Schizosaccharomyces pombe: one gene and its partners. The gene in region 3 interacts genetically with the main gene of each other region. Each region holds a gene or a part of one and is shown on either strand. Other genes may lie near its edges.

What was found. Genes that interact genetically often act in the same process or in processes that back each other up.
Region 1: mutations in hip4 (region 3) and nur1 together harm fitness more than expected from each alone (negative genetic interaction), as found in Schizosaccharomyces pombe (2 studies listed by BioGRID).
Region 2: mutations in hip4 (region 3) and SPOM_SPAC1687.14C together harm fitness more than expected from each alone (negative genetic interaction), as found in Schizosaccharomyces pombe (2 studies listed by BioGRID).

The regions. Positions count from the first base shown.
Region 1 is NC_003421.2:449,709-453,504, reverse strand, and holds nur1 (protein nur1), read left to right. Parts: upstream 1-1,741; 5' UTR 1,742-2,089; coding exon 2,090-3,040; 3' UTR 3,041-3,296; downstream 3,297-3,796. Other genes in the region: DNA repair protein Rhp42, read right to left, coding at 1-1,136; SPOM_SPCC4G3.12C (ubiquitin-protein ligase E3), read right to left, coding at 3,776-3,796. UniProt on the Schizosaccharomyces pombe protein: Has a role in meiosis.
Region 2 is NC_003424.3:927,301-930,320, reverse strand, and holds SPOM_SPAC1687.14C (calcium-binding protein), read left to right. Parts: upstream 1-1,650; 5' UTR 1,651-1,877; coding exon 1,878-2,108; 3' UTR 2,109-2,520; downstream 2,521-3,020. Other genes in the region: serine/threonine protein kinase Gsk3, read right to left, coding at 125-315, 364-382; SPOM_SPAC1687.23C (uncharacterized protein), read left to right, coding at 848-1,162; COP9/signalosome complex protease subunit Csn5, read left to right, coding at 2,750-2,832, 2,940-3,020.
Region 3 is NC_003423.3:656,165-663,919, forward strand, and holds hip4 (histone H3.3-H4 chaperone, HIR complex subunit Hip4), read left to right. Parts: upstream 1-2,460; 5' UTR 2,461-2,920; coding exon 2,921-3,937; 3' UTR 3,938-4,067; downstream 4,068-7,755. Other genes in the region: hsp3103 (ThiJ domain protein, glyoxylase III), read right to left, coding at 159-944; rrp1402 (ribosome biogenesis protein Rrp14-C), read right to left, coding at 4,220-4,921; SPOM_SPBC947.06C (spermidine family transporter), read left to right, coding at 6,776-7,755. UniProt on the Schizosaccharomyces pombe protein: Component of the HIR complex, which functions as a histone chaperone that cooperates with cia1/asf1 to promote replication-independent chromatin assembly.

The DNA.
Region 1 (3,796 bases), on a different chromosome or scaffold from region 3:
TCGTTATCATATGCAGCAACAATACCCATTCGTAGATGTTTTGACTCTGCATACGCTCCTTTGGGTTCAAACCAAGTCATATCGTTGGTATATACCCCATTCAAGACAACCGCATCTACCGCAATCCATTTCTTCTCACTTTGATCATAGATTTCCGTCCAAAAAATAGGATAGCGGAGGTCGTCATCTATAGATGTACTAGTTTCTTCAGGGAGGATATGTGGAGACCAATCATCATAGGAAGCAGTAGAAAATGTCAAAGGTTGAAGAGAAAATATAAGTCTTGCTTTCAGATTCAGAGATCGACAGAGAGCAGTAAATCCCTGTGCCGCCAAATCCCGGCTTCCTTTTAGCGAAAGTAAGGATGCTTGGTATTCATGAAAGTTATGAAATATTTCTGGCGAAAAGCCGATATCAAATCCTTGTTTCAAAGTACGATACCCCAACTTCCGAAGCCCATGACTCTCAATTTTAAAAGATTTATTCCACCACATCCGAAGCCCATTTAACAATTTTAACAAATCCTCGTGCGTCTGGCTACTACAAACCCACGCCTCCACTACGGACGGTTGCTTTTCGACAAGCAAATCGCGCAGCCCATCAAGAAGTAAGGAATTCATTAACCAGCGATTCCTTACTGACCCATGGTACAACAAGCAAGTAAAGTGCATAATGTGAATAGATAATCGAATGCTTTTATCCATTGCACTAGAAGAGCCTTTCTTCGATTCTTTTGTAAGTTGAGGAGTGATATGCTGTGTGACTATGTGTAAATCTTTTTTATCTTCTTGTTTATTAGGAGAAAGATCAACTTGTTCCCAAGTGTCAAAATCGTCGTCAAACTCGTCATCTTCTGAGCTGCCTAACTTCTCATTGTCTTCATCGGAACCTTTTTCGGATGAAGATGCGCTCCTTTGAAGTGAGTTTAACGCTGATATATTGTCATCTAAACTCTCAGAAGGAGGTTCCGCTGAGGAAGACAAACTTGGCTTTTTCGACTGGCTACGAGTTTGACGGTGAGTTGAAGATACAACAGTTTCCTCTTTCACTTCAGGATTAAGAGGTAAGTTATTGGTCCGTGTCCTACGTTTCCTTCCGCGAACAGAGTTCTTGGATGCTTTGCGTTTGGGTGGCATTGAGCAAAGAGTTTATGTGAATTGAATCAACTTTAGGATAATGCTTGTTTAACCGCTGGTTCAAATAATATCAATAACGATAAATTGAATAAAAAGTTGTAATCACAGCCACATCTGATATATTCTTAGTTAAAGAATTATTATTTCAAGCAATCTCTCCAACAAGAAAGCAAAATTCTAACAATGGCTGTGATGATGATTATTAAAAAGTCCTTTGAAAAAGAGGTCAGTATCAACTGCGCAAGAATGGCGAGTAGTTTGTTTGCTGAATATTATGAGCTATATTAACTACTTTTGATTTCAACCGTGAAATAAAGATTTAAAAAATTTAAATCTGAAACATAACATGAAAATAAATTATTAAATAAAAAGTTAAACCACATGCATCACTATTAATAAGAGACAATAAACATAAGTCAAAAAAAACTTCAGCCGTTAAATTTTAAGGAAATAATTCATTAATTAGTAAAACGTCAAACGAAACTGTTTAAATTTATGTCACTGATCGAGCTTATATTTCCTAAAAATAGGAATTTTAAATCGACGACTGATTTTGCACAGCAGTAGTAGTGGTAAAGTTGAAACCATCAATAACACCAATACTTAGGAACATCAACCTGCGAAAGCAAATTCTTTTTTTTTTCTTTTTTATTGCACACTTGTTTACGTACCGGATTTAAAAAGTTATCTTAATAAAAAACTTTTTATCCTTCATTGTTGCAATTGAAGTCGATAATAGCAAGCTCGACCTAGCTAATTAAAAAGCCTTTGCTACTCTAATTAATACGTAAGGTTTGAATCCTGAAACGGAGAAGTGCCCTAATTTCGTTCATTAGTATACGAATATCGGAATTTACCTTTCAGGTCCATGGTTTGTTTCATTTCTAATTCGGCGTTGTTTTATACTCAAAAAGTACACCTGAATTTCAAAACATTGCTTAAAAATCTTTTCAATGGGAAAGTTAATCCGTCGTACATCGCTGACTTCTAAAATAATCAATCTTCCGATCGATTACTTTATCTATGTTTGCGAACAATTTGACAGTGTAGAGTGGGATAAAGTATCAGATCGTTATTCGATTCCCTTTAGCTTGGCTGTCAATTTTATTTTTCTCTTAATGCGCATTTATATAAAAAGTACGCATGTACCAGTTCAACGCAACCAGCTCTTTGTGGATAAGCAGTCCATCAACACCTCTAGGTCCTGGTTTCGTGCCTTCCTATCATTTCTCTCAATTTGTTTTCTTTTCATCAGCTTTCTCAATTTCATATTTAGCACTCGATTTCAAAATAAGCTGTATAGAACTTTGCCTCAAGACAAACGCACGACGACTTCTACTCCCAATGTAAAACCAGTTTTCCAGCACTCAAATAATGATGATGGCGATGAACAAGTTTTTGAATTGAAAGTATGGAGCCCAAATCAATTTTTACTAAATTTTGCTTGCTTATTTTCTCCTGCTCATGCCTTGATTTTATGGTTTTATAGCACTTCTCTACGCGTGACTTTGTTGACTTTTCTCCTTTCGTTTACAACATTGCATTTTGTCAATAAATTTTCCTTACTGCTGAAAGATCAACAATATCTTCATCGCCAGGTATTCTTTGAGTATGATAAGAAATTTGTAGAACCTCGACTTTCGGTAGTTAAACGAGATGTTGCCATTAATACTACTCGTGGTCCCACAACCGCATCTATTGAATATTTCACACCCCGAAAACCCATAGATACCTTCCTTGAACACCGAAGTTCTTCACATGATCATCTCACTTCAACACCCCGTACCCCTATAGCGCTTCAAAGAAGAAGTGTTCATCATCTTCATGACAGCGGAATTAGTCGTGACAGCAGCTCACCATTTAAGAGATTTCCACATCTTAGTGATGGTAGTTCTCGCTTTTAATATTTGTCTGAATTACATGGTTTTTGAATGACCCACTGCATTTCCATTTATCATTGTTGTTTCTGTTAATTCCTATTTTCGAAAAGTTTTAAGTCATAACTCAATTCAGACCTGAAATAATTGTATTCATGAAGACTAATTAGGGTATCAAACACCGTCATTCTAAAAACTTTCGATGATCGACTTAGAACCAAATCCTTATAATTTAAGCTTATTCAATATGATCTCTTATTAAAATCCTTACATGATTATAAATATGAATACTCTTGTTTGTTAGAAAATATATTTAAAAGTGATAATGTGCATCAATTTTGTATCTAAACTAATATGTAAAAATCGAAGCAAAATTTCTAAAAGGAAAATAAATTATATTAAACGTGCAAACCGATTAACTAAAATGATTTTTAGAAAAAACTCAGCTTTGTAAAAAAGGCAATTGTTATTTCTAACAAAAGACGCACAACAAAACAATTCGTTTCCGTGCAGCAAGTAGAAAATTACAAAAATTTTATCAATAAGGTCATAAATGAGAAAAATGAGAAAGTCCCAAAGAGATAGTTGAACAAGGTCAAGCAGTTTTAGGTTATAGCAGCCATAAAAATGGGAAGAGCTATTATGTAGATTTCATTCACAAGCAAATAGTGCGAACAATTATTCAACAAATTTGACGGATGAAGGAAAATAAATGAGAGTGAACAAACATAGAATAAGGCCAGCTTTAATTTCAAGTCAAAATTAATTTTCCTCTTCAGCTTG
Region 2 (3,020 bases), on a different chromosome or scaffold from region 3:
CGTATATTGACGAAGCACGCGCGCTACGTATCTTCAGCGTAAACAAAAGTGTGCGGTTTTCACAGAAAAATAAAGTAAAATCTAACCCTTCCTTTCGCATTTTGCATTCAATAAAAATACATACCTTAAACCGTTTATCTTGCAAAACGCGTTTTATAGCGGCTTTGCTGTCTGATTCAATTAAATGAACCTGCATGACCACGCCAAAGCTTCCAGAGCCCACAACTTTACTCGAAGTGTAAGAAAGTTGCTTCACCTCTCCCGTTGACCCATCACGAGCGGTTTCCTTTATAATACGAAAGGGGTCCACAGGAACTATTTATACGGTTAGAACAACAGCACTATCGAAGTTAGCCAACTTACTTTTAGTACCATGATTCATTATGGATGATGATACAGAAATGTTAAATTACAAAATGAAAAAAAAGCTATCAGAGGACTTAAAAAGGAGGTTTTCTTGGCGTGATGAACGTGGAGTACGGGTTGTGGTAGTGGAGGAAGTTCTACCATAGAATAATCTCTGGGGTATAGTAGCATGATACAAAGTGCGTACTTCTAAGAGGTAACATTACGGGACATGAGCAAATCATAAAACTGTAAACTCTCGGCGCAAGTATCAAAGAAAAGAGGGTTCATTCTTTCCTCTTATTTATTACAATAACCATAAAAAAGTACGTATATTAATGAAAAATTCGTGCTTGAGAAATTGAATTCATGGTTATTAACCATCTTACGTATACGCGATTATCACATTGTGAGTTTTAATTCCTCCAGTCCGTTATATTGAATAGTGTTACCGAATTTAGAGTGATATACTTTGAAACTGCTAGAGCAAACACTGAATTCGATGTGGATTTTAGAAAAGAAAAACATATTTTTTAAAATAATTCACATAAAATCTAGTAGGAAGTTTGACTTTTCAAATGCCATCAGAATTGTGCTCCTACCTTTCAGTAGCAACTGCTGTCGCAATTCATATACAGTAAATAATGGAACATTCACAGGGAGACAAATTTATACTAGCATATGCAAATCGCGTATCCCTCCCTGTCTCAAAGGAAAAAATGGAAAAACTACGAAATCAGAGAGCGAACCAATGTCTCAGAAGCATCTCAAATATGTTAAAAAATACATAAACAAAGTAAGAATCCTTAAAAAATGAATGTGTATAAATAATGTCAAACATTCATATATAATATATAACACGAGTATTAGTATGCCACACCGCTAAAGGAGATTATGCTTGATAGCCTACATCATTAAAGCCATTTTGCAAGTCGATCTATTAACTCATCAAAAATCTTGTATTACGTGTTTTGTTATTTAAATATTGCGCACAACCTTAGCTTCGGTCAATTTATTATATTAGCTAATAACGCCTTAGTAGGTTGGCTTGGCACGTAAATAAAGTCAATTGAACACATTTTATACATAAATTTTGAGATTTCCAACTGTCTCTTCAATATCCTTGTTGATTTGGCAGTTTTAGAAAAAAAAATTCAGCTTAACGTTTTTATACCATATATTCATTAAGGTCAAGTTTCGTCCACTTTATCGCACCACGAAATTTCCATTTGTACCACCTTCAAATTGCATCAAATAGCCTGATTACTTAGTATTTAAACGCAGTTATTCCACTTTTGATTGTCTATCTGTTCATATTATTCCTCCTTGTCTTTTCGTTTGGATTTTTAACTCACTTCTAGTCTTTTTTTGATAACTGTTGAACAAATTATATCTCTTCTAGCCATCGGACGCTGATTTTCATTCCTTTCTTTTTTTTTACTGTTATTTCGTTCATTTTAGCATTTTTGGCACTATCTCATTTGTTTGCATTTGCGTTTCCTTGTTGAATAGTTTTTTAGTTTAGGGGAACCATGTCTGTCAGTACTAAACGTCTTGAAATGGATGAAGAAGCAGAAGAGGCTTTTGATCTTTTTGACGTGACACACAAAGGGTACATTGACTTTGAAGACCTTCGAAGATCTTGCGCTCAACTAGGGGAAAATTTGACTAAAGAACAGCTTCAGTTGATGCTCGATTTAGCTGGCACTAATGGTAAAGTATCGCGTGAAGAATTTGCCGAATTGTGGATTCATATATCTTGAGATTGTTTATCAATGGAGACAAACTTCATTTTATTTATGGGATTCATTCTCGCACTTTAATGACTTAATGATGATGGACTTAGTGTACTAAAAAAGATTAAACAATATTTCCTCGTGTTTTCTTTTTGTTTTCAAGCCATAGATGCCTGTTTTATATACTTGGTTGTAGGTTACAATTGATGCTAAAGATAAGTGTCACAGCCTGCTTGAACAACAATACTAGAATCTACATTCTTTCGTAAACCTTGATTTATTGATTTTTAGCATCTTCGTGTGTCTCTTTCATGATATATGTTACAAGGGATTGGCGATTGTGTAAATTCAGTGAATAGGATTTCAATGAACTAATACTATATTGTCTGTTTTCATTCATAGTAAAACAAGTTCTCAAAGATACCAGTTACCAAGCAAAATATATTGTCTTTTCGAAATTCAATAAACATACATTTTACAGGCTAGAATTCATGTTTTAAAATGCTTTTAATCAACTAATATGCTTAAGTAAATAAACGAAATTTTTATCTAAAAATATGTCTTTATAGCGAGTTTTACTTGTACTCGAAAAGTTCTCCAACATTTTTTCGTCACATACCACAAATGATTCATTTTCTGTATTTAATGACTACAATTACAAAATTGCAATGAATAATCAACTCGAAAATGTTTTTAGATTTGATGAAGAAAAAGAGAGGGCTAAAATTCGTGAATCGCCGTGGAAACATGAGTAAGTTAAGATTTCATTGGTTTTTAGCTATATTATACCAGTCTCTGAATTTTTTTCCCTACGTTAATTTATTAAAATTATAAATCCTGTAATGCTAACAATAACAGCCCAGAGTTTTTCCGTTCTGTCAAAATCTCAGCAGTAGCTTTGTTGAAAATGTTACGGCATGTATCTCAAGGCATGCCATT
Region 3 (7,755 bases):
TCCACTTTAAATATCATCAATGATTTTGAGTGTTATTATTCATCGGCGTCAAATTATGTTCGCATCATTAATTTTTCCTGTATACATAAATTTCATCATACGTTCAAATTAATCGTTTAAAAAGACTCATTATCCAATAGCTTTATTATCGTTTCGCTTTACAAAACACGCAAAGCCGTTTTCGCCGTAGATGTAGCACTTGCAGGATTGGAACCAGTAACTAATCTTCCATCTGCTATTACAAAATCACCGAATGGGTTTGGTGACTTGATAAAGTTGGCTCCTGCATCATTCAACATATCGTCCAAAACCTCCAAGTTGTATTTTTTCAGCGCTTCCATAAGTTTGGATTTATCCTCGGCCACCCTATCGAAGGCGGTAACATCTTTACCACAGACAATTGAAACAGAGCCGTCGGACGTTTGACGCTTCATGAATGGAAGTAATGTAGGACCATGGCACACGGCAGCTACTACTCCCCCATTTTCATAAATGGAAGTACCAAGTTTTTGCAAATTTGTAGCTTTTGGAAAATCAAATAGAGTGGCATGTCCTCCTGCTACGAAGAAAATGTCATACTTGTCAGGATTCACTTCGTCGGCGGTTTTGGAATTTTGCACAATCCTCCAAAACATATCATCCTTATTTTCCAAAACATATTTTTCAGCTTTGGATAGCTCAGGGCCACTTGCGATGTGATCATCATAGCTCAAAAACTCTTCACCCTTAGATCCCTTGTCAATTGCCGGACCTGCTACTGAATGATCATCGAATTGGATTTTCCCTGATTCAGTAACAATGTCAACATTGAAACAAGCATCTCTAAATACCAAATAAGGATGTAACAATTCTAAAAAAAATGCTCCAGTATTCTCACCATCTTTATAAAATGGTCCATAATAATCAGAGCAAGCAATTAAGACATTTCTAGTTTTAGCAGGCATTTTTGAGTTAAAAATAGTTTGTATAGTGCTTTACAATGTATAACTCCTTGAAGACAGAAAGAGTTCGATGAAATTGTTTGGATTTTCGGTGAAGACCATCCTTTTATGTCTTTTTTTTGGACTCTAAATATTAGTATTTCTTCGATAAATTTTCGTTTATCGGTTTTTTACGTAAACATTAAGTAAAGTGCAACGTCCACTGATTAATTATTTCCATGTCAGTTACAGAAATTTTCTCCTTAGACGGCATAGCTCTTTTCATTGCCTATTGGTATTCTAGATGCAGCAAGTTCATATAGCTAACGACTTATTTTTTGCTAATTCACCCCTAAACTTGTAATGTGGCTACGAAATGCATTTTGCATCTGGTTTGTTCGAAATTCCGTATGACAGCAGGAGCAATGCGTAGCCAAGTATTAGTGATGAAAAAGGCCAGGGTCTCGTACACTGAGCAAATAAATTCCTCGTACAATAGCAGGTTTGCGTATTCACATGTTTACATTCTAAAAGTCGAATAATAGACGAACAAAATATGTCTGAAGCACTGTTATAATCACACAACGAAAGAAAAAGAGATGTCGGGTAATTTCTGGTTCACCGGCTGAATCAATAATTCGTTAACTTTCTTTAACAAATGTGTATTCGACATGAATTTTTCTAAAAATCAAAAAAATGAACTAACTACCACTTCCTGCTAAATTTTTAATAAAAGGATGGTGAGTTGTAACGAAAACCACAATATACTATAAACCACTGCTGTATATGTTTTGTTGGCACTAAAGCAAACGATGGTTTCTTTTTGCCTTGGTAGATCAGGAGTTGTAATCTAGAAAATTACGAATAAAAATATTCGTTGAAAAAAAATTCCTAGGATGTTATGACTTTATTCTTCGATAGAGTCGCAAATGTCTATACTACAATGAATGCGACCTGCAGTAGAAAGGGAATAACGAATTGGGGAGCAGCTAGCTATTTAGGAGAAATGATTATGAGAAGTAAGCTTATATTGAGTACAATTTGTTTATTAAGAGCTTAAATGATTAAAATGACAATTTCCCATTCATACAGTTCTGTAGTCATGATACTGTGCACACATGAACAGTTTTCTTTACTTAGTAGTGGAGTATTGATAAAGCAATGCCAACTGAATACCCAATTTCCATGAATAAAGTTTTCCTTAAAAACAAAAAATTCAGATCAATTAATCATTTTCATTCCTTTCTTTCCATTGAAAATCTCCAAACTCATATATACGTATAGTAATTAGAAATGATAATTTATCTCTTCATATAATTAATAAATTTACCCTATATATAATGTAACTTTTTTCTGTGTACCACAAGCTTCTGTAGCTCAGTCGGTGGTAGCATCCCTCTCATATAATGACAGGGGAAGGTCGTGAGTTCGAGCCTCACCAGGAGCATTCTTTTTTGCCCTTTACTTTTAAGAAAGTGAGGATTGCTGCGCTAATGTTGTTCAGTATAAGTTGCATTATAACGTGCTATTTACTTGATCTATCCCCATACTGTGGGAATTGTTCGTACTCGTTTCAAAGTTATTACCAAATAAAGTATTACTTTACCATCCTCCTAATCAAATTATTGTTTATCATTTAACCACTTTGCATTTTTTGTTGCTTCTAGTTCAATCACTTGTTGTTGCACTCTCTTATAGAAATTTGACGCAGCGTCGCAGAACTTATCATTTATTCAGTTACAAAAAAGTGCAAGCGTCCAATTTCTCATTTTTTGGTCTGCAGTTTGTTTCTTTAATGCTATCAACTCTTAGCCTTGTTCAATTGTTAAGAGTGCTCTTGAATTGAAAATTTCTATTAACTTATCCATTGGATTCAGTGAAACGACGGCACTAAGTCTTGGACTCAATTGTAATTAAAACTACCATTTTCGCTTGTTAGGATTACTTTTCCTTGCAAATTTTTTCTTCTACGTTTTCACTATACTTCGCTTTTGTTCGTCATGTCGCTTTTGTCTGGCGACCAACGAATTATTTGCTTGGAAATTCCTTTGCAAGGCAAAGAAAACGTACATATTAATTTTGCAAAAGAAGTGGAAAAACTTTATGGACCCTCTGTTCAGGAGAATTCAAAAAAAAATGATCTTTCAGACTCAGCGGATTCTGAGGGCGAAAGTACACATGTTGATGAGCAACAAGCAGCTAATGGGGCGGCCGATGGTACACAGACCATAAAGAAAAAGAAAAGGAAAAGGAGGTACGCTGACGAATACTACGATAGAACAGATCCCTTTATTGATGATGCTGAGCTCTACATTGAAGAGAAGGCTGCCGCTACCAAAGATGGATTTTTTGTATTTAGCGGTCCACTCGTGGCCGAAGGAGATACTGTGAAAATCGAAAGATCAAAGAAGACTAAGAAAAAGAAGAAAACATCTTTATCCAATGCTACACACCCTGCGCCAGCTGTCTCTGCGGTGGTGGCTTCAGCGGATGCTAGCTTTGACGATAGTAGGGATATTGAATCTGAGGACGAGCAGCCATTAAGGACTTTGTCCATTGAAATGGCTGCTAAGAATGCTTTAAAAGAGGCAAAACGGGAAAATGCAAAGGTTCCCAAGGATGTCTCTAAGAAGGAAGCAAAAACAACGAAAAGCAAAGAGAAAGCCACAAAAAAGACATCCTCTTCAGTGCCCAAACAAAGTACGGGAGAAAATACCAAAAAGGCTGTTAAACTTGAGACACCTCTTACATCTACACCCCCTATACCACCTCTCTCTGAACCAAAGCATTCTCCCGCTACTGTTAATGAGCACATTTCTCCTCCAAGTGCTTTAACTAATCCTTCTACGGAGGAACTCAAACCTTCGACCTCCCTACCTATTGATCAGGGCAATGCTTCTGTCGTTTCGAAACCTACTCAACAAGTAAGCATCGTTCTTTCTCAGAATGCATCCTTACCCGTTGATGAACATCAAGCTGAACCAGAGAAATCAATTCCAACTAGTAGCATCCCATAATTATACATATGTAGTGACCTGAAGATCTGTCAATCGATTTCTGTATATTATTTTTATATCATATTTTTTTCGTTAATAAAAAGCAATTATCATCACACCGCATTGATTATCTATTTCTTTTTTAAGGCAGAATTTTGTTTCAGTGTTACTGTTTGTATGAGTAAATTTATGTATTCATTCATAATCAAATGACAAAAAAAGCTATTTAAACCCAAACCTCCTTGTTAACCATTAAATCCCAACAGACCAGTATAATTTTTGAACAAATTTAAAGTTAAGCGTCTATTTTTTCTTGGATGGCTTCTTCTTTTTTGGTGCCTTCCCCTTCTTAGACTTTTTACTTTCTCTACGTTTTTTCAAATTTTCTTCTCTACGTTGCTGCCGCATTAACATTGCTTTTTTTTCGTTGTCCTTCCTTTCCTTCCAAGCGTCTGAAGACTTTTTCTTTTCCTTTTCTTTGCGACGAATGCTCTTTTTAAGCAATTGCTCGTTATCTTTGAGTTTTTTCCCTTCTGCCTGAAGCAAAACTCTATGCCATTTATCACTTTCTTCAATTTTTCTCCTTTTCTCTTCGTCCATGCTTTCAATACGGCGTTTCTTGGCTTCCAAATGCTTTAGAGCGCCAAAGACATCAGTAGGACCTCGCTTTTTTCCGGCAACTTTTAGTTTACCATTCGAGAATTTGTCATCTCCGACTATTAAAGTACCATAAGTAATAGTGCTCTTGTGGTTGTCATTTTCCTCGTCAGCAATGTTATCAGAAGAGTTCCCAGTGTCATAAGCTGCCACTTTTGATTCCTGTTTAGCCTTTGACTCCTTTTTAGCTAACTTCTTCGCTTCAGCACGAGCTTTTGCCTTTTCTTTTCTGCGCTGTAAAAGTAGAGCACGGTCTACTTTTTCAGTAGCTTTTCTTTGAGAGCGAAATGTCTGAATCTTTTCAGCAAGCTTTGCTCGTAAGTCATTTTTTCCTTCAGTTGTTTCCATTACAGACCGATGATAAAGGAGGAATCACAAATAATGGAGAAAGAGGATGAAAATACACAATCAGAATTGGGTTAATAAACAAAATCCGATACAACCCGATAAAAATAGAAAAGGGATGTTAAAATTTCTTAAACGAAAAAAACTTTTGAATTGATGATTGATAATAAATAAAATGAAGCCTAATTACCCACGAACAAAAAAAGAGAAACCCGATAATATGGAGTTTGCGAATCCAAAAACAATTGCTTTGAAAGAAAACTTAATAAAAGGGAAAAAAAGCTAAAGTAATACAAAGATTCAATGGCTATTCAAGATTGAAAGAACGCCTTTTTGTAATAAAGACATGTACTTGTAGTGTGGAAAAGACTGAAAGAAAACCTCTATTTCGAAATTTAACGTAATACGTTATTGTATTTACCAAAAGTTTACGCGCCGTTATTATTGTTTAATGAAAAGGTGCATACCGTTAAGCGAGATAATGGGTAGGGTAATTTGTATTTAGTCCGCGCAGAAAGCCACAATATTGGAAAGAGTAAATAGTCTATTTCCGCGTTTATGAGTTTCTCTATTTTGTAAAAAAAAACATTTATGAAAATAATTTTCTATGTTTTTCGTTATGACTTTGATTCCACAGTCATACTGGAAAGGCTAAAGACGATGTAAACAAATACCTGAACCAAATGTATTTGGAAGGGATGCGATGATACGCAAGCATTGAGTGTTTTAAGAATATCCCTTATCCAAGAGGAACAAGATTGTTTTCAGTTGTTGGATTTTATCAAGAAGCAGCCTCGCATAATATAAAGACGGATGTTGGGTTCTGAAGAAAACGGCAATTCCGTTTTTAAAATCCCCATAAGCATGTAGGGCAGCATATAGGCCGAAATTAAACAAAAAAGAGGAACTTATGATGATAGAGGTCTTCTTATTTTGGTGAAAATGTACAATTTCGTTTTTCCTACGGAATGGAATTGAATTGCATTGTCGCAGTCGCTGTCTTGAACCTCATCCCTAGATACTTGCGAATTGAAATATTTATAAGAATGCGAAAATGATTTGAGCGTGTTTTTGTTCCATAATAAAATAGGAGTATTTTCAAATGACTCTTATGAAGGTTCGTAGGAAAAAAACCGTTAAAAAAAATAAACATAGTAAAAATACCAACTATCTATCCAGCACTATTCCAATTCTATCACACCCAGCGCGCATTCTCTTTCTTTCCCCAACTGGAAAATTCAAGTGCATAGAGTGTTGTTTTCCATGGACAGCATATAGGGACATTGGCCTAGTGAAGCTGGAAAAGTAATGCATCCACGCAGCATTTTTTTTTTTTTACATTTAATCAAAATTGCTTCTTTGACCTTCTATGCTGCTTTATTGCTAGGATGGACCGATGTGAGCTCAAGTTCTATACAATGTGAGCTCCACTACAGCTACTTGCATTAGGACCCCTATCTTATCAAAATCTGGTAACTTAGTGTGGTACTGTAAAGATGGGTTATGTGAAGACATATTTTATAATGGTATGCAGTTATATAATTATAAGCTGTATGGTAAAAAATGTGCCTTTGGGAAAATATTTATATTAAAGAGGTATCTCTAACCTTTTTAACATAATATTTTACAGCAAATGCTTTTTTGTTAACATTAGAGTCCAGACTAGATAGATGGTATGGGCGATGCTGAGGCTGTCAACAATAATGAAAATTTCGGCCTCGTACTGAATTTGCTGTTTACAAATAACTAGACTGGGATGAAATAGCAGCTCTGAAAGCACTAACACCGAGGTTTACGAAAAATATAACTAGGAAAAAGTGTTAGACATCGTCTGTGATTAATTTCCTTCTTATAACAATGAAAGAAAATGATCATTTGAACAGCGTCTCATCCTCCGAAATAGAGAAGTGCGATGAAGACGTTGAGGAGGAATTATACTCCTATCCTGACAGCGATTTTCTTGTAACATTCAATGGCGAAGACGATCCTGAGAAACCGTTGAATTGGCCAGTTTCAATTAAACTATTGAATACAGCACTTTATGGATTGACAACATTTGCTGCACAGTTCAATAGTACTACCATGTCACCTACTACTTCTCATCTCGTCAATGCATATCCAATTGGTCATGAGGTTGCCGTTTTACCCACTTGTTTATACATTTTGGGGATCGCATTTGGTCCTATGATTTTTGCGCCCTTCTCTGAAGTGAATGGGAGAAAAATCGGCGTCTTAGTTCCTTTTTTCCTGTCCATTCTCTTCACAATAGGAACTGCCAGCTCTGACAGCGTGGCGGCCATCATGTGTACACGATTTTTTGCTGGCCTGTTTGCTGGCGCCCCTGTCGTATCTTCAGGAGGTGTGATGGCGGATCTTTGGTGCCCGGCACAGAGAGGTACTGCGTTGATTTTCTATGCGTTTTTCGTCGTTAGTGGAGCTGACTTTGGTCCTATTATCAGTAGCCTGGTTACTGAACACTCGGATACTGCGTGGAGATGGCCGCTATGGACAATTGTAATTATTGAGTGTTTTATCCTGACACTCGACGTATTCCTCATTAAAGAAACCTTTGGCCCAGTCATCTTGGCTACGAAGGCTAAAAACTTGAGGCTGACTACAAAGAACTGGGGCTTACATGCTGCTCATGATGAATATAGATTGGATTTTAAGGAATTTGTGACGCTGCATCTTGTGCGACCCTTTGCAATGTTGGCTACTCCAATCGTCTTTTTCATCGCAATGTTTGCCAGTTATGTCTACGGTATCCTTTATTTAGTTTTGACGACAATTCCTTATACCTTTGGAATGACGAAAAATTGGCAAGGCACAATTTCTAC